2 linked regions of the Bombyx mori genome follow. The protein of the gene in region 1 interacts with the protein of each later gene in a pairwise test. Links are inferred from orthologs where the notes say so. Each region holds a gene or a part of one and is shown in the gene's direction. Other genes may lie near its edges. The genes, in order: filamin-A and AMP-activated protein kinase beta subunit.

Region 1 (10,158 bases):
CGCTTCGCCCTAACTCCTAACATCATGTAATGACGTCAGAGCTATTATTAAATATTTAAAATACGAACTGGGGTAATTCTGGAAATCGCTGACGTCAGAGGTAATATAAATAGCTTAGAATATTTAGTTATTATTCGAAACTGATACATCGGATTCGATGGGAACGGGGATAATGATTTAAGGGGTGTTAGGAAATTTTTAGTTAAAGGGAAATAGTTTAGGTTGGGGTGTTAGGGCGTGGCGGTGAGCTGAGCTATGGACGTGGGGCAGGTCCTAATGGGGCGTCGGTGCCGGCGGCGGTGTCTTCGGCGGGTCCTGCCGCCTTTCGAGCAGAGTTCGTGCCGCGCGCCGTCGGGGAACACAGACTCAACGTTCTTATCGACTCTGTGCCCATTCCAGCCAGCCCCTTCCATCTAAAGGTATGTATATATACATTACCGATATTCAGAATACTTTACATGTGTTTCAATAAGACTAAGGGCAGCCGTTGTAACTATACTGAGATATTAGAACTTATATCTCAAGGTGGGAGGCGCATTTACCTTGTAGATGTCTATGGGCTCCAGTCACCACTTAACATCAGGTGGGCTGTGAGCTCGTCCACCCATTTAAGCAATAAAAGAAAAAAACACTAAGTAATACGCCGTAAATGTGGGAAAAAAAGTTATATGATTTCCCGAAGTATTTTCTGCTCCTAAGACTCCCGAAAATGGACTGATGCGCGGACGCCTCTAGTAATTAAACAACGTCTAGTAATTAAAAACAAAACACAGGCCATCATAATTGGTAGTAGATATGCTATTCGTGCATTAAATCATTCTGCAATTGGATCTCTCATATTGAATGGCCAACCAATTGTCTTTAGTGAAACTGTTAAAAACTTTAACTCTTTCTTAAGCTGGAATGAGCAGGTTAACAATGTTAGCAGCAAAGTTAACTTTGCATTCCATTCACTCAAATTTCTCCAATATTTTTTGCCTTTGGAAACTAAAATTTCTCTTGCCCAAAGTCTCATTTTACCCATTTACCATACAACACACATTAAAACTCTCCTCAATTGCCCTGTTCATAAAACACATGCTTACGCAAAATCGTTTTCTGTACAAGCAGTTATACTTTGGAATTCCCTCCCTCCAAGCATACGAGCGTACAAAACCATAGCAGCGTTCAAGAAATCTGTTAAGGAACATTATTTATCCTTACCATCTTAAATAAATTTTATATATTTATATAATGTATTATAATATAAAGTAAGTATATGTGTGTATGTTATATATATATATATATGTGTGTGTGTGTGTGTGTGTGTATTTGTATGCATATATATTGTTTTGTATCTTGTAATATGTATATATTACTATATGTAATGTTTACTGTATGCACTAGGTTTGTGTTCCTAATTCTTATTTCCTTTTGCGGGTCTACTGAAAGAGATTTCAGCATGAAATAAGTAGTGCCCTTGTACTCTGTATCCTTAAATAAATAAAATAAATAAATATAACATATTGCAACCACAAAAATACATTTGAGTATAATCGATCGATTATTTGTTTCAAAGTTTAAATTGTGTGTCTTAAAAGCTAAGTTATAACATGGAGAGGTTCTATTTCATTTAAAATTATCATCATGCCTAAGGAACAAATAGAATAAGCAACAATAACAATATGTATAATAATAATATTTCATATTCCAGGTATACGATGTATCAGCTATAAGAGTCAAAGATGTGGCGCACGGTACTGTCGGTAAACCTGTCACTTTTTTAGGTTCGTACTAAAATCTAGTTGTTTAATCATTTTTGCTAATTTTCGATGAGTATAATACAACGCTGCTTATTCATCAGTGGAGACAATGGCCGCTGGTCCTGGGAATTTAGAGGTGACGGTGAATGGCGGCCGGGTACCGACTGCGGCGGCAGCGCAAGGAGCTCACACATACGCCATCAGCTTCACGCCGCGGGATCCGAGGCCTCACACCGTTGAACTGCGTTTCAACGGCGATCATGTGCCTGGTAAGATATTTTTATATATTTCAGAGACAGTCATTAGTTTGGTACGCAGCAAACGCAGCACGATTCCCGAGAGACGGCAGCACGATTGCGGTATCATCGGAACTCGGCTAACTTCGTCCTACGAGAGAGCCTAGTCGATGGAGGCGCGTAGACGCCATCGCACTTACCAACCAGCCATCTTGAAGAGCGGTGCCTCCGTCCTAAGAACTGTCATTCGTTTTCGTTTTCCAACGTCAAGAGAAGATTTCTAAATTGTTCTAAGACAACAAACGTGATTGGTGTACTCAATATTTCTCTTAGCTCGATCACCCTATTCGCCCCTACGATGTCTGATGATAATTGTGGTTATTCTGACTTATAAGAGTATACAATGGGTCAGACGAGCAACAGGCAAGGGCTTGCTGAAATTGTTTCTATAAAAAAAGTTATTGAGAAAAGCAACCAACTTCTTAGCATATTGATTGTAATAACTTGTAACCATACTTGAGACCTTTTAGAACTTATGTCTCAAAGTGAGTCGCGCATTTACGCCGTAGATGTCTATGGGCTCCAGTAACCACTTAATATCAGGTGGACCGTGAGCTCGTCCACCCATCTAAGCAATAAAAAAAAAAAAAAAAAAAGTGAACTTTTAGTAAATACAGATATCAGCGTTCTGATGCTATGATTTTGACCTGCAACGTGTATGCTATCTATACCAGGCAGTCCATTCGTGTGTCACGTGTCGGCGCCAGCGCGCGTGATCGGTGCAGGATCGGGCGAGCCTCCGGAGAAGGTGTCGGTTGGTGACGCGTATACGTTCAGCGTCGACTCGCCTACGTCACCGCACGTCGAGGTGCTTGGCCCCGCCAGGAGACCCGTCACTGTGCAAGTGAGTTCCGAGTAATCACGCCACCGGAGTAGAGTTTATCCATACTACCTGGAGCCACTACGTTCATCCACAATGCGTTTCCAGAGATCTTTTTTGGAATAAGCTCCCCTCCACAGTGTCTCCCGAGCGCTAGGACATGTCCTTCTTCAAACGAGGCTTGCAGAGAGTATTAAACGGTAGGCTTGGCTCTGCCCCTTTCATTGCTGACGTCCATGAGCGACGGTAACCACTCACCATCATGTGGGCCGTATGCTCGTCTGCCTATACGGTATTAAAAAAAATCAAGATTCATATCTTTCTGCACAATGCCCTTCTATGTCCTATTCACCTCTCTGTCTCTCTCCAACGATAGAAGAAAACATAAGTTTACGAAGCTGCACGAAAGTCGAGCTTTTCATTACGCTCAGAGAGCTTTCCAGACAAGTGCAGAGGCAACCGTGACAGTATGCAACATTTTGTGCCGATCATGTCTAGATCATGTCTGGTTATGTCTTATGTCTCTGCGATAAGAGAACAAGAATATTAGGAATATATTCTAACTGACAGAAGAGTTTGTAATTGTGTTGCAAACTCACGTAGGTAGGTCTTGTTCGCTTCTGCTGTAATGGCTGCTACCACTGCCCTGTTTGAGACTTCAAGAAAAGTTTCTGGTAGTACACCTTTAATAGATGCGGGAGTAGTCTTGACAATGGGAGCATTTCATTTCTTTTTCGATAGGAAATCGTTGCTGGATCTCGTTAATAATCAAATATTTCTTCCAGGTATCTGCTGAAGAAACCGTAGGTGAAAACGAGGCGAGCAAACGGTACACCATCTCATTTGTGCCTGTTGATGTAGGAGATCACAGTATTGAGGTATTTTCAATTCAGTTTGATTTTTTACAAAGTATCTATTCGTTAGTGGGAATGCTACGTAGTGCTCATCAATTGTGAGTTAGGGTTTTTGTTCTACGCGCTAACATGACAATCTGTCTGGCCCTTAATAGAATCAGAAGTTGCGTATATTGTTTCCTTGTTTCCATCATCAAACCTTACTTACGTCGCGTGATGAGCAGCGGCGTTACTATTACGGTTGTAAGATGTGATGTGCTCCGTACCATCATCGTCTCCAACGAGCTTGAAATACAACCATTTTTCCTCAATATTAATATTAATAACAAACACTTTGTTTTCCGATAACCAGTTAAGACTGGTTGTGTTAGCTTTCTACCCGATTAATAAATAGACCCTGTTTTTATGACTAGGTTCGCGCCGGCGCTTCGGGCGGTCACGTGGAGGGTAGTCCGTTCTTGGTGAAGGCGTACAGCGCCGCGCGGGTCAGCGTCACTGACATCTCGCCGGGTGTCGTCGGAAGACCTGTGTCCTTCACCATCAACGCATCACATGCTGGTACGCTGATTTAATTAGGCTTGGCTGTGCACCTAGCATTGCTGACCACTTTCCATCAGGTGGGCCGTATGCTCGTCTGCCTACAAAGGCAATTAAAAAAATTTTTTACTTATAATACAATCGACAAAACTTTTTAATTCCAACTATTGGTCACCCGGTAGTCGAAAGTCGACTATAACTAATTGAAATTATAAGTTTTAACATTATTATGGTTCTATTGTCAGAGACTTTACTTCTATAATCACAGATTTTCCCAAGCCTACGCTATAGACACATAATATTAATCTATTCTCAATTTGACCATAAAGTCTATGGTCGAAAATAAACAAACGAGTATAATATACGCGTGTGTATGACAAATATATGGTAGTATGGGTAATGTTTTTATTTATTAATTTAACATATTTTTATGCATAGTTAAAAAAAAATAGTATTCGGCCTTTCTCTATATCCTCTGTAAGTTTGGGAAATTTTATACTCTTCCGTCCGCGCTATTTTCATAAAAAAGGGTACACATTTTTTGCTTCACGTATAGATAGATAAGAGACGACGCTACATTCTTATTGTAACAATGTTTTAAAAATAACAGCATTGATCACTTTTTTTTATGATTCGTTCTGTCACAGGTGCCGGCAACTTAGAAATTATCGTAGCCGTTAACGGTCGAAACGTGCCTAATTATGTGCAGAGTGAAGGAAATGCGAGATTCAAGGTAAAGTTGTCATAATTTGTAAAGTAAAAATACTGCTTTCCAATAAGAATAAATATTAATTTTGCTAAGGTTATTATAATTAAATTTTACATTAACCTTCAGTAAGACAAAGTCTTTCGGATTTACCGATTTTCCACCACAATTTATCGTATGTACATAATTATGTATTTTCTTTAATAATATACTGTTAATAGTACACCGCAACATACCTGCTGTATCTTTATCTTTTTCCGGTATTTCTGTAAATTAAACAGTTGCCTGGAAGAGATCACTTTTAGCGATAAGACCGCCTATTGTACAAATGAATCTGTTTGTTGATTGTTTTTTATGTTAATTGTGTTTTAGTGTGCAATAAAGTATATTCTCTCTGTATTAGCGTGAAATGTTGACTCTCGTCGCATATTAATTAATCTTAAGTTATTCAGCACACTGTGGGTTATCCAGGATAGTTTTCGTGGATAAATACCAAGAGATTAGCTTCATAGAATCGGTGGTAAATCGAGACCTAATACAGCAAGCAAAGAGCATCTTTTCGTCCGTTGTACACATAACGTAATACGAGAGAACAAGCAGAGCATATATGTGCTTTCGGTAGCTCAGAATTGGTTGTCTATATATATTATTATAGTACTAGCCGTACTCGCCCGCTTCACTGCGCATTTAAAATTAACATTATTATTTATTGTCATTATTATTAGGGAGTCCAACACTCATATAAATATTAGCCTATCCATTAAATACATGTATTTTCTACATGGATACCAAGTTTCAAGTCAATCGCATTCATGGTTCAGTAGTTATAGCGGAACATCCGTAAAAACCATTGTAGTTTTATATATTAGTATAGATGATGTGTTTGTTTGGTAGGTGAACTTCAAGCCGGTAGAAGCGGCGCCGCACACGCTGTCGGTCCGGTTCAACGGTCACGCGGTTCCGGGCTCGCCGTTCACGTGTGCCGTGTCCGCACCGACCGCGGCGCCGGACGCGCGCGCATCCGGTGCCGGCTTAGTGTCGGCACCGCGCGGTGACCCTGCCGACATACATCTCACCGGCTTCCAGAGTGAGTACAATGTGACAGTTTAGCACAATTTTTTTTCATCGACTTCAGATGATAATGAAGGTGGAGGTTCCCAATTAAAATTCATTGACTGGTTTTTGGTAAAGCGACCAGATAGTTTGATAAAACCAATCACAGTGTAATTTTAGCAAATTGAAAAGCGATCGCGCAGTTGTAACACGTAATTAATTGTGAAGATTGTTTATCAAGATTCAAGGCTATTGTTATATAATATTAAAATGAAATTATATACATACCTATAAATTTTGTGAAAGTTGTATTATCTTAATAATTCAATGACGACAAAAGAAGTATAACTTAATATGGCGGTATGTAACAATCACGGTTTTCTAAATGATGATTGATATACTTATATTTTTTACCAATTTAATTCATTATGCAATTATTTGAAAGGTAGTAATGCAGGCTTTTTTTAAACAATCCGATATCCTATTCGAAATACGCCCACCACTAATTAATTAGTCATTGTCCTAAGTAAGTTAAGTACAACCTGGTCTCGAAATGTATTATATCCATACAATATTTTTTTTGTTAAATTGTGATGATTTATCCGGTCTGCAAGAGAGACAGAGAGCGATTACTTAGAAGAAGAAAACCAACGAATCGGTAATTACAAAGAATACAAAGTTAATGTTTACATTGATGACATCATGAACAAATTGATTGCTTATTGAAAAACACAAACAGTTCATTGTTGACAAACAAAACACAACAGATGTGTCTTTAATTAAGCGTTAACATTAGTGATATTCACACGTCGACTTTTTATAAAATGTCTTTGTATTATAAACTTCACAAAATAGCTCAGTGGCTTGTCTTAAATAATGACTTCAAAATTACTTTCAAAAAATGTAAAATACCATTTATTCATAATTTTCATCATCTCGTTCGTCTAGCGGTTCTTTGGTGAAGTTAAGACTTGTAACACTTTTAATAAAATCAAGTCGTGTAATTAAATCAAACTGTATAATAAAATAAAATGAAACCGGGAAAAAATTTGTAATTAACAAATAAATCAATTGTGGTGACATAGACCTCAAGTCGGTATATGCTTTGTGACATCTATGGTCTCCGGTAACCATTTAACATCAGATAACTTAAGGCTGTTTCTTTTATGGAACCTTTTTTTTTAAACAGCAGCTGAGCCCACAATTTACGTGACCGGCCCGGGTGGGACCAACGTACGAACCCGTGTAACGCCATTAGGTGATGGTCGCTATACAGCAACTTACACTCCGGAGGCTGTTGGACGACACAGTGTGCAAGTGACGTGCGCGGGACGACACGTGCCGGGCTCTCCTTTCACATGCAACGTGTACGATGTACGCCGCGTCAGAGTCACCGGCCTTGGACCTGGAGGTGAGTTCCAGTTTATAACACGAACAATGGCCATAAAAAGAGCTAAGATATTTTGTATCTCTACGTGAAATTCCTATATATTCTTTATTCTAATCACATAAATCTAAGTGGTTTACGGAAAATGAATGCCTTTTCCGCTTCTCTGCCATTTCACATTCACTCCCCAGACCTATCGAACATCGATGTTACTAGGTGATGAATAAGAATTTCTGTAAATCTGTTGCATACGCAACAATTGACCTTGATTAAAGACGTGCGAACGCATAGATCCGAAACAAGAAACTTTTTTGGGTGTTATACAATAGCAATTTTTTATTAAATTCTCTCAATCGATTCACACTAAAAAAAAGCATGATGAACTAAAATAGTTCAGACAGGTACTGATAAATTTAATGATTTGATTTCAGAACTGGAGGGTACATTAGAAGGGCTGAGTTTGGATGAAGGTGTGGAAGAAGAGAGAGGTGTAGAAGTTGGTAAGCCAGTGACATTCAGTGTGGATGCAGCAGGCGCGGGTGAAGGAACACTGGAACTGGTGGTATCTACACCCACTACAACAGTGAAGGCTGAGGTGTGTATGAAAACTATTCTTTACTGCTATTTAAAGTAGAAAATATTAAAAAATTTAATATCTCGTTACCGCTAAGCTAATGGTATTATTCATGTTCCTATAAGAGCCCTATAAATTTTTTATTGTATCCCCGACAATCTTTTAGATTTTGGATATAATATGAACCACGCCATTAATATGAGAATTTTCTGCTATTATTTAGCCGAGAACATCTACTTTTCCAAACACAAAAAGATCGAAATTAATAAAATGTACAACATTTACAGGTAGTGGCTGTGGCCCGTGGTCTGTACGATGTGACTTTTGTGCCAGTTTCTCGAGAGCCTCATCGAGTGTCAGTCACGTTCAATGAACAAGCAGTTCCTGGTAGTCCATTCATTTGCCGCGTCAACGAACCACACACTTATGTACAAATTGGTAAGTTTCGAAATTTTTGATTTTACTGATTATCAATATGATTATGATGAAATGTGTGTTGAAAAACTCATCAATAATACTGAATTTCTAGGTGGAGTTGCAACAGTGGAGATCGACGAGAGTCTTTCAGACGTAGACGTAATATCTCCTACTGGAGTGCGTGTTTCTGATGCACAGCTCGAGGACACTGGTCTCCTAACGTTTCCTGCGAGTCGTGTTGGTAGATATGTTGTCAGAAGTGCAAAGGGACCGGTGGCGGAAGTCGAGGCTGTTGATGCCACTGCTGTAAAGGTGTTGTCTATTGGAAATGCAGTGGTTCACCGACCAGCTATATTGACCGGTAATCATATTTAATATATGGGTAATGTTAATAAATCGAAATAGATATAATAAGAGCGGCTTTCAGAAAATAGTTGACAATGTTCAAAGCTTAAAGGTTTATATTACATAATTAATTAGTTACGCCATTATGGGCCTGTTCAACCTAAGCTCAGGCAGTTGAATTCACGTATATCCAATCTCATGTCACAAGTGCAACATAAGTGTGAGTAAATTTCAGTGAGCACGCATGGCGCGGGTGCCGGTCGACTGTCTGGTCGTGTGTCGTGCGGCGGTGCGACGGTCCCCCACTCGGTGCGTCGGCGCGGGGGATCACGGCACGAGGTCGTGTGGCACCCAGCGCGTGCAGCCCCTCACCGCCTGACGCTGCTGTGGAGCGGCGCGCCAATCGACAGAGAACCGTTACTCGTCGATGTGCATCCACCACACCATGGACAAGAGGTTACCACAATAACAATTCACTAAACTTCTTACTGGTGGTAGGACCTCATATGAGTCCGCACGGGTAGGTACCGCCACCCCGCCTATTTCTGCCGTGAAGCAGTAATGCGTTTCGGTTTGAAGGGTGGGGCAGCCGTTGTAACTATACTGAGACCTTAGAACTTATATCTCAAGGTGGGTGGCGCATTTACGTTGTAAATGTCTATGGGCTCCAGTAACCACTTAACACCAGGTGGGCTGTGAGCTCGTCCACCCATCTAACCAATAAAAAAAACTAAGGCTCCAGATGGGTTTACCTCACGGTCCACATTTGCTATGTAGTTACCATTTCACAACTAAAATACCGCCACAAGTAATTCACAGCGAATTTTGAAACAGAAAGTCCAAGTCTCGAATTGAATTGTAATACCTCACCTACCTCAGCTTTCAATCCGGAGCATATGACCGTTTTATCTCAGAAAGTGGCAAATTGGTACATAACGGAGTAAAATTAAAGTAAAAGTATGGTAGGCAGCGGCTTGGCTCTGCCCCTGGCAATGCTGACGTCCATGAGCGACGGTGACCACTTACCATCAGGTGGGCCGTATGCTCGTCTGCTGCAAAAGGAGAATAATCATCATTTAAAAATATAAAAAGTTTAATCACACATTGATTTTTAAAATTGTCATTACAGGTGGCAGCTTCTGGTCTAGGTTTATACCAAGCTCAGGTTAATAAAGTGGCATCATTCAGTATCGACACCCTGGGTCGACCTGCTCGGGAATTCGACGTGGTCGTCTCCGGACCTGGCTCTCGAGCACTGCCCGTAAGATGTTATCAAACCAAGTCTGGCTTGTTGCAAGCAGAATTCACTATTAATGAAGTTGGACAGAGTACTATAGGTATGTCTTTCACATAAAATCGTTCTAAGGTACGAAAACTCTGTTTATTCCCAGAGTAATTAACAATGCATTTGGTCTTTAAACAAATTA
Region 2 (10,748 bases), on another chromosome or scaffold:
CCCACAAGACTAATGAAAAATTTATTAAGGTTTTAATAATACATTTATTTACTGTTTACTGGTGCTAGGACCTCTTGTGAGTCCGCACAGGTAGGTACCACCACCCTGCCTATTTCTGCCGTGAAGCAGTAATGCGTTTCGGTTTGAAGCGTGGGGTAGCCGTTGTAACTTACTTGAGACCTTAGAACTATATCTCAAGGTGGGTGGCGCATTTACGTTGTGGATGTCTATGGGCCCCAGTAACCACTTAACACCAGGTGGGCTGTGAGCTCGTCACCTATCTAAGCAATAAAAAATCGTAATTTTGCTTACCAAAAATAAGTCCCGCATTTTTGAAGGCGTCAGGCATAGCTAGTATCCCCGTTCCTATATTACCTTTAAGAAGATGAATCATTGTATCAAAGTTTGATGTTGGATATTCTAAACACCTTTCTGATGCAGGGCAATAGTCGCCTTTTGTTTTCTCAGTTGAAGGACCATCATCATTTATCACTGGTTCGGTTGATTGTATTTCAATTACATTTTCTGGACTGTTTGGTCCAGTTAGGAGTGGCTGTTTTTCATCGCTCATAGCTTTCAATTTAATTTTAACGTTTTTGTGAAGTAGACACTTTTCATTAATTTTTTATGTTATTTAATTGAATACGAGTAGTCACACCAATGTTTTATGAAATTAATAAACATAAAATTATTCAAATTATTAGTCTCGAGATTGAGAAAAATATATGTAAATTAACGCTGTATTATTAAGAATCAGATTGGCCTATATTCAATATATTAGTCCAAAAAATATAGGTAATACTCTCCTAAGAGAGCATAATATTAATAAGAGTATTTTTTGTTGGAACTAATCGTAATTTTATTATTATATTTTAAGAGCTATAGTTCATGATTTCAGCTCATTGATTGCACTCATTGCACTGGATCGCACTCTCAGCTTTGCTTTGCCTGACTTGTCCTATGAAAATAATTGCGCTCAGCCCATAGATTATACACTTAGCTCAGCCGCTCAGCGCTCACCAAACACCAAATGTAAGTAATGTTTTTCTTAAAGATTTTGTGGCATGGCAACGGGACCTTTAAGTCTAGTCTTTTTTCTTAGATTCTAATAAATGAAAAATGATATGAAACGAAATGAGCTGAATTAATTTGATACTTTAATCAACTGGGATGAAATGAAATGAAACTAGATGAGATGTAACGAAATAAGGTCTCAGTAAAGAACCAGAGAAGGTACGTCCAAGGGATTTGTTTCTTTTTTTCAAATTGGTGCACTTTCACCGATGCTAAGCTGATAATAAACCACAGTTATTACACATTTTAATCCGAAACAACAGTAAATAAACAAAAGGAACAAATTAAATAAATAATTTTAATGTTAAAAAAACTTTTACTAATTAATATTGAGTCTGATTTTCTTTGGTGGATCGTAAAAGTTTGAAGGAATGTATAAAGATTTTTGGAGTTTACTCCTTAAGAATCGATTTACATATATAGGCCCGGGGTATGAAAATTATGGGGACCAAAATCGTACTAGAGAGTATAGCATGTCACACGAAATGCGTTATGCGCCTGATTGGCTCCTGATTGCGTGATGCGTGCGCGCGCCAATCAGGAGCCAACGCGCGGCCGCGTTATCGCAGGTGACGCCGGGCTGCTGCGCCGGCAGTCCGCCACAAAGCCTCGTACTGATCGCGCGTTTCTCTCATTATTGTATTTTCATATATTTGTTAGTCGTTTGTTTTGTGTCTCGTTAATTTGTTAATAATCTGTAGTGTATCGTGTTGTCGTAATATAGAACTATTTCTCGTATTGTTTCGTTTAATTTACCGACATCGTTTTGCTTGTGGCCGGACGCCGTTCGGGTTCGATTCCTGAACGTATCAACTGTTAGTGGGTTGATACCCGAATATAACCCGCTACAAATCATTTATTAATAAAGCTTATTAAATATAAACAATTCCTTCTATCAGTGAATGGACAACTTATATATTAATTGTAAAAGTGAATTATATAGACTTACTTAATTACCGCATCCACGTGTTCCGCAACTCCCGGATCATTCTCACTAGAATACGTAACTTCCATATTTTACTGTATTCAACTGACACAAATTTATATTTATATCCAGTAAACTCCAGTCGTGCGTCGGAACGGACACACACACTTTTTTTTTATTTTATTTTTATTGTTTAGTTGGACGACCTCACAGGCCACCTTGGTTACCGGAGCCCATAGCCATCTACAACGTAAATGCGCCACCCACCTTGAGATATAAGTTCTAAGGTCTCAGTATAATAGTTACTAGTATTTTATCATTGAAAGCATTTATGTGAGAAATTAACTGTGACGTAGACAATACACAAATGGTACACTTAGCCCTTTAAAACTGCAAATAAACTGCACAGCAAGAGCCCATTGCCATTTTGTAATATAAAAAACTTGTGAGCCATCGCAGGACGGTTGGCAGATGTACTACTACTAGTGCGTTGGCGCTATGACCTTCAAAGTGGGTCTTGGCGTCCGAAAATTAGCACCGTCACTCGGACTGACACTTGAAGATCGCAGCATCAGACCAGCGGTACTTGGGCCACCCCACGGGAAGGCGCCTCTCCGGTACATCCGCGTACACCCGCTTCATGGACCAATCCACACTACATGTTTGAGCCACCTGAGCCTTTGCATCCTTATCTTCCCTAGATTAATTTACTCACCAAAAAGTTCCTACACATCTTTGTTTTTCCGAACGTGCCAAACACCGTCATATTTCTGAGCTCTCTCTAGTAGCAACCTCTAACATTCTCACAAGCTTCCGTGAGGTTTCAAAGCTGGTGAGGATTACACAATATAGAGTCGGTCTATCAATACTGTAATAGACCGTAGCAAAATCTACAAAAACCGAATGTACGCTTTATGCGTATTAAAATCTTTTCTCAGTGAGTTTCTCAGTCTCAAGATTTTCGCCTTCGTCATCAAGAAATTGAATGGTTGGTTGGTATGCTTTCTTTACCGATCTGACCTCTTGGTAGAATTTTCGAGCCTCATTCGTTCTTATTAGGCTTTTCTTACACTTGATGATGTCACTCATATGCTCTCGCTTGGCTATTCTAATAACTTGTTTAGTCTTTCTTCGGACTTTCAAATATCCGTCTCGCCATTTATTTTCTTGCCACGAGCATTTTTTTTATAATACGCTTTTTTCGCTCTTCTTCTGAAATAAAAGTCGTTCAAAGTAAAGAAAACTTAATGAGTAAATATTTGTAGAAGAGCATGCTATGAAAGTACAAGTAAATATCACCATTCTGTTAATTTCTGCCAAGGCTACCAGTCAATAGGTAGGGAAAAAAGTACTATTAAACTACTGGTGATCCGGAGGCTTTGCCAGTTTCATCAGCCAGGTGATCTCGTGTGTTCTAATAGAGTTACGATAGCAAAGTAGGTAAGGTAGGTAGTAAGTAGGTGAAGGTAGGTAGGTAATTAAATGGGTACCTAAAATCACATTTCTTCTCTCTGATGATAGATTTTACAATATGAGATACCTTTCGATCCGTAGCAAAAGCATATCGACTGAGAGCAAGTTAAATGTGTCAAGGATTAATCTTTTGGTCTCAGTCAATGACCATCATTATACTGAGATTATATTTCATCCCATATCGTCTCATTTCATTTCATTTCATGCCATGTTTCATATTAATCAACTTCATTTCACTTCATATTACCATTTTTCATATATAAAAGATATAAGTTGGGGAAAAAAGTCTTTTCGCATTATGTGTATGAAGTTGTAATAAAATCTCTTTGGCTATACTATTTGTATCTGGCTGGTTGTGGTATCATTAAAAGTTTAAATTTTAAAGAAGATATTTCTAATTCAAATTAGGAAAATGTGTGATTTTTATTTATTTTTCGTACTGTCAAGGTGAGTGAACCTAATGAAGAAATTCGATACGTTTGAAAATTTTCCTACAAAAAAGGTAAAAATGCAACGCAAGCCGCGAAAAAAATTTGCGATGTTTATGGACCTAGTACAATGTCTTGAGAGTAGCACAAATTTGGTTTAAGCGGTTTCAATCCGGTGATGTCAAAGATGCACGTTGCTATGGCCGCCCTATTACGGATAAAATGGATGCCATTTTTGAAAAAGTGGAGCAAGATCGGTTAGATATCAGTAGTTATGACGTAGCTGAAGAACTGGGAATTGACCACAAAACAGTTTTGGCGCATTTGAAAAAACTGGGTACACAAAAAAGCTCGATATTTGGGTACCTCACGAGTTCATTGAAAGAAACCTAATGAACAATGCACTCATTTGTGATTCTTTATTACGACGTCATGAAACCGAACCATTTATGAAGAAGCTGATAACTGGTGATGAAAAGTGGATCACGTACGACAAGAACGTGGGAAAAAGGTCGTGGTCAAAGGCCGGTCAGGCTTCACAGACTCTGGCGAAACCCGGGTTAACTCGCAACAAGGTGATGCTGTGTGTGTGGTGGGATTGGAAGGGCATTATACATTATGAGCTGTTACCACCAGGCAGGACCATCGATTCTGAACTCAACTGCGAACAACTGATGAGATTAAAGCAAGAAGTTGAGAGAAAGCGGCCGGAATTAATCAACAGAAGGGGTGTGGTTTTTTATCATGATAACGCTAGACCTCGCACAATTTTAGCCACTCAGCAAAAATTAAGAGAGCTTGGCTGGGCATCTGCCGTATAGTCCTGAGCTTGCACCTTCAGATTTTCACCTGTTTCGGTCTCTTCAGAATTCTTAAGCAGTGTCAGGTTAGCATCACGAGAGGATTACCAAAACCAATTGTCGCGGTATTTTGATCAGAAGCCCCAAAATTTCTATAGCAATGGGATCATGTCCCTACCTATAATATGGCAAAAAGTTATCGAACAAAATGATATCTACATACTTTAGTTAAATGTAAATAAACTATATTAAAAAATGTTGTGAATTTTCTTAAAAATGCATAGAAACTTTTATTTTACTTTATTTATATATAAATAAAGTAAAATAAAATTAAATAAAACATTACACTGTATGGTATGACACTTTTACCTTTCCAGTTGGAAAAAAAAAAGTACTAACTATACTCAACTATACTGACAGTGTTGACACTTGACACACTTCTGTTAGCTTTGTTCATTTGTTGAACAAAGTTTAACATAATAATTAATTAAACAAACCTACATACATATAACCATGTAAGTAATTTTTTTAAAGAATGTTAGGTATTAAATTACAAATACAATTTTTTAAAATTTTCTTAGTTGAAAATTAAATGGGGAATGCCGGAAGTAACCAACCCAAAGAATGGCATAAAGATGCTAACAAATCGCCTGATCATGATCAAGGACCTTCATCTCCAGCCAAAGAAGGGGAAGCCTTCACGTTTGATAAAAAGCTAGACGATGATCGAAGTAGTCGAGATGATGACAATAATATAGAAGATGGCGCTCCTTATTATACTAAAGCAGTACCTGAAAGTGATATTGAATACACTGAACAACGTGAGAGATCAAATACTCTCACCGATGGTAGTAAAATAGTCGACGATATTAAAGTATTACCAACAGTTTTCAAATGGGAAGGAGGTGGAAAACAAGTAAGTAAAATATATGTACTGGTGTGGTGACAATTAATTAAAGAAAGTAAACAATATGTATGTATGTATAAGGTTAATGACTAATAACCTGTAAAGCGCAGCTTCTTCGTTGTATCATTATAAGAAAGCTTTATTTGATCATCTATCCTCTCATGAACAAGGTCACAATAGCTGTTTTTGTTTAATAGATAGGTACACAAGCTCATGGCTCGGCTAATGTTTCTGGTGAAGTTGAAGTCTCAATTGTACTGTAAAGCTCCCACTCTTCCAACTGGAATGAATGAATGCTTTGTAGAATTGGGAGGATGACATTACTACTGTCTTGGCTTACAATATGTTTAACTACCAGTAATTATGCATATTATAATTTTAGCAGATCTAATACTGAAATTTGTAAAATGAGAGAATAGGTTACTTGAATATTTTGGAGCTGAAACAAAGGACAACACTTAAAAAAGTATAGTGTAGGAGATGCATCAAAGTCAATATTGCCAATTGCTACTCTGACATGATGACTGTTGACACTGGCATTTTACAAAGATCTATGTTTTCCCCATGTTTTCATCTTGGTGAACTAAATCACCAGGGAGAGATATGTTTTCCTTTAATGGAAAACTTCCCGAATTATATTTCTGAATAGAGGGAATGAAATTTAATTCAGATCAACTCCATAAACAGTTTTGCATGCTCACTGCAAAGAATAGCTAAGTGTCATGTTGCTAATATTCCAAGAAGTGTCTCTATAAACTTTGAGATAACTTTTTGAATATTTTGGTTTTCAAGTAAGTAGAAACGTAAAGCTAAGTTGATTTTGAAATAGTTGTAGAGTCCTCAACTGAGCAAGTAGTAGTTTATGAGTGTTACTTTATGTAAGTTTATCGAAAGACTTGATGTGATGGGCCCTTGGGCCACCATTGGGTTTTATGAAGGGTTTATACTTCACTACTATGATTGTATAGTGTTTTTATGTTGCAGGTATTTATTTCTGGAACATTTACAGATTGGAAAACTATTCCCATGGTAAAATCACATGGTGATTTTGTTACAATAATAGATTTACCAGAAGGTGAACATCAGTACAAATATTTTGTTGATGGAGAATGGAGGCATGATCCTACAGTGGTAATATCAATAATATTTAACACAGCGATATTAGTTTACTAATTCTTATACTAAGTACTTTGTGTTCTATGAATTGTGCAAGCAGTAGCCTCTGCTTTCCCAATTTATATCAAAAGGTTTATTTATTTAATTATTTATACATGAATGTAGACATAAATAGTATGCTACTCACCTGCAGAGGAAAAACCCTAAAAAGCATATGATCAAGGATACATTATATTGTATTCCTTGAAAAAATATGATTTTTCTAATCTGAGGGACCAAAAGTTTCTCGAATATTTAATTGATAAAATTTTAAATCATAGAAATTTTTCAAAAGGTCGATAATGGGGACCAGGTGCAGAATTCAGTAAGTCAAATAATTAAATACCAGTTAGTCATCACAGTATGCTGGAATATTAATCAGATAACACTGATAACCATTTTCTGGTGATTCCCTTAATCCAACTTGGCTTGGTTGATGCTATTCTAGGCCAAACATCAGATAACTGAAATTTTTATTAGATATTCATGGATTTCAGAAAGTAATTGACAATGGAATGGGGTCCAAGAATAATTTAGTAACAGTAAAAATGTCAGATTTTGAGGTATTTCAAGCATTAGCCAAAGACAGTGAGGGTATCCACAGCAGTGCTCAGACTGAATATTCACAGGTAATAGGTTTTTTATTCTCATAAATATAAAAAGTATAAACCTTAACATTAAAGTGTCTAATAAGCAAACAACCTCAATGAATGACTCATGTTTCCTTTCATGCAGATTAAGTGTGCTCTTTATTGTTAGTTACTTGTTGAAAACTTATTGTATAATAATATCTATTTTAATTTTCCTGTTTAATCAATTTTTTCAATTGAATGATAGACCTCGAAACATGTATTTAATCTTATTCTGATAATTTTATTTTGTTAAATTATAATTGTTATAATAAATTTGTTTTTTAAAATTGTTAAATAATAAAAATTATATAATAATAAAAATGGTTTTTTATAATTTTTATAATAAAATTGCTATAATAAATTATAATTGTTATTTAACATGTCAGGAATTATGTTTGTTTCTGATTCACAGGAAATCCCACAGTCCAAACCATGGGAGAAAGTGTCTGGTCCACCAATATTGCCACCACACCTCTTACAGGTTATACTTAACAAGGATACTCCACTTTCTGTAAGTCAATTTTTCAATTATAAACATGACATTAAAGGTTGAAGTGTGCACTTTTAAATATCTTTATTTTTAATTTTCATTAAAATATGGAGTGAATTTAAAGAAATGGACTACATAATTGATTTTCTGAAGATATTCATGATGTGGTGCCTGACAATTATAGTAGTTTTTAATAATAGTTTGTTCAGTCAAGAGTCATTCAATCGACCTATTCAGACGCAGTGTCTTTCTGTGTTTTTCAGTGTGAGCCGACTCTACTTCCGGAGCCTAATCATGTGATGTTAAATCACTTGTATGCTTTGTCAATAAAAGATGGAGTTATGGTACTGTCTGCAACACATCGCTATCGCAAGAAATATGTTACCACTCTTCTATACAAGCCAATTTAATACTTTTGTAGTGGCAAATTTGTTGTTTTTTATCAAGTAGGACTAATGCTTTCCTGTTGTAAAATTATGTTGTTATCGTTTTGTTTTCATGAAATGCAAACATGCAATTAATATATTATTATAATTATAAAAATGCTATTTAATATAAAGATAGTCAGTATTTGTGTAGTTTAGGTAAAAAAAAAAAATTGTGACTTAAGGAAACTTGTTGAAAGTTATGCAACAAAGATGGTATTTTAAATTGGTTTGAAGCTTGTTAGTGTATGGCTTTTTAACTGCAGACATTTTTAATAGTGATTGTTTGTGTAAATCCTTGAAACAAATATTCATTATTTAAACTACTCTTGTTAAATGGATTGCCTAATATGTATTACATATTTTACGACAAAGCGATAAATGATGTGGTATTAGTGTCTTAAAAAAAATATCAAAAAAAACTTAGTTCCGAGCAAAGTGATAAATGCAGTCAAGTATTAATAATTATGTATGTACCTCTTAGTATTAGTAATATCCGGAATATAGGGATGCTGTTTTCAATAAAAAATATTGAAAATATCAATTAAGAAAGAATTTTATAAATCTGCTTAGGAACAACTAAGTTGAAAAAAACCTTTTAAACTAAGTGGTAGGAGTAATTATCAAACAACAAAAGAATTCATATAACGAATCACGACGTCACTGTGATTAACGAGCAGCCGGCATCTAAAATATTTCAATTCGCATACCCAAATAGAGTAAAAAATTAATTACTACGTCATCTAAGTCTAATGTCGGTGGTTTATTAGTTATTAATTTCGTAAAAGTCTGGAGAAGGCAATAAAATGTGGTAATAAAATAAAACTTCCTCATTTTTCATGCCTATTGGGGACGGTATTGCGCTATTTTGAGCGTATTTGTCTTAATAAACAGCGGATGGGCATGTGGTATGTGAGAAACCCCCGCGGTTGGATACTACCATCCTATTTCTGCCAAGCAACCACATGTGCCCGTTTAAAGTACAGGACAACTATCGTATTTATGAAACTCAGATTTTAATTTTGTCTCAAGGCGCATTCACGTTCTGTGTGGTTAGTACCTACGAGTTTTTTAACTTCCCGATTTCGGTTAACTCGAAATTTGTATGAAGTTGGAACAGCGCCCCTAGCGGTAAACGAAGAGAAGCTTTTCAAACTCCTTACAAATTTGAGTCACCTTTTACTGGTATCTTCAATGGCTCCGGTATCTCTTTTAAATAGACTCGTGTACCCACGTCATTTTTTTTATAACTTCTATCTTTTTATAGAACAACACGTGGCAGTTTCATGTCCGAAGGTTTTTGTTTTTTGCACAATATGTCAGTATGCCGAGTAATTTGCTGCTGTATTATAAAGTTAATGAAATTCGCTGATATTCTCGTATTAAAGATAAATCACATTAAATGATTTTATATAAGGCATAAGATCAATTAAAAAAAAATTGCTTATTTACGAGCCACGACTCGTAGGAAATCAATCTGCGAGAGAGATTGACGTCAAATCAAGTGATCAATACCACAAAAAATCGCCCCTTTCAACTTAAGCGTCGGCTTTTTATTTTTACATTCAAATCTAAAAATAAGAAAACAAGAAAATGAGGTGAAATCAGGAGAGCTGAAAAGAAGAATCACAATTAATTTATTTCTAAGATATAGGTACGTTCATTCAACGAAATTTCGACATGGGTGTATTGTTTTCCCTCTGTATTGTGATTGAGAATGTTGCTATAATAGAATTATTTTGTCCGTGCAGTTTGGGTAATAAAAAAATCGGAGCGGTGAAGCGAGTATTTCGCTCTCTCTTCCACTTACGAGCCTTATGGACGGGCATAGTGATGCGCATTCTTGTTTTCGATAAGCGTTATCGATAGTGTATTTAGTTTTGTCATTTTGTGGGTTTGTGATAAAAATGAAAGAAAAAATCACTAATCGAACACTTACACCACATATCGCCGCAGGTAGTTAACGAGAATGGCAGAAATTAACACTTTCTAGCTTTTCGGGATCTATTCTTATTTCAGTGAAAAATTTTAACACATTGTTGATAACAACACGTGCAAATATTATTTTGAATAAATCTGCCGTTTTGATATAAAACAAAGGAGTTGCCATTGTTTCACTAAAGAAATTCAGAGAACGAATGCATAAAAACACATTTCTCTTCGACATAATGTACTATAATTTGCAGGTAAGTACAAATGACTCTTAACATAACAATGTCTCACCACCCTTCGTATACCACCCCGCCGCCGTGTACCTGCCTTCGATGACTCATTTATTTTTATCGATAATGGCGTTGCGCCCGAGCAACATGCTCACCGCCCTAGCCGGGCTATATTTTATGACCCAAACTGCACGGACAAAATAATTCTACTGTAGTTAATTGTATGAAGGGCACGAAGAATTCTTGTCACGGTTTGAATTTGAATTTTTTTTCGAAA

What was found.
Region 2: the proteins of filamin-A (region 1) and AMP-activated protein kinase beta subunit interact in a two-hybrid assay, tested with the Drosophila melanogaster proteins (2 studies listed by BioGRID). The link is inferred for Bombyx mori from reciprocal best matches to the Drosophila melanogaster genes jbug and alc.

What each region holds. Positions count from the first base shown.
Region 1 is NC_085121.1:10,247,401-10,257,558, reverse strand, and holds part of filamin-A, read left to right. Parts: intron 1-270; coding exon 271-419; intron 420-1,693; coding exon 1,694-1,766; intron 1,767-1,843; coding exon 1,844-2,011; intron 2,012-2,712; coding exon 2,713-2,882; intron 2,883-3,643; coding exon 3,644-3,736; intron 3,737-4,125; coding exon 4,126-4,270; intron 4,271-4,896; coding exon 4,897-4,982; intron 4,983-5,849; coding exon 5,850-6,042; intron 6,043-7,197; coding exon 7,198-7,419; intron 7,420-7,826; coding exon 7,827-7,990; intron 7,991-8,256; coding exon 8,257-8,407; intron 8,408-8,498; coding exon 8,499-8,747; intron 8,748-8,966; coding exon 8,967-9,187; intron 9,188-9,860; coding exon 9,861-10,068; intron 10,069-10,158.
Region 2 is NC_085118.1:8,961,209-8,971,956, reverse strand, and holds AMP-activated protein kinase beta subunit, read left to right. Parts: upstream 1-5,292; coding exon 5,293-5,616; intron 5,617-6,591; coding exon 6,592-6,738; intron 6,739-7,259; coding exon 7,260-7,391; intron 7,392-7,806; coding exon 7,807-7,905; intron 7,906-8,147; coding exon 8,148-8,294; downstream 8,295-10,748. Other genes in the region: proton-coupled amino acid transporter 2, read right to left, coding at 313-571.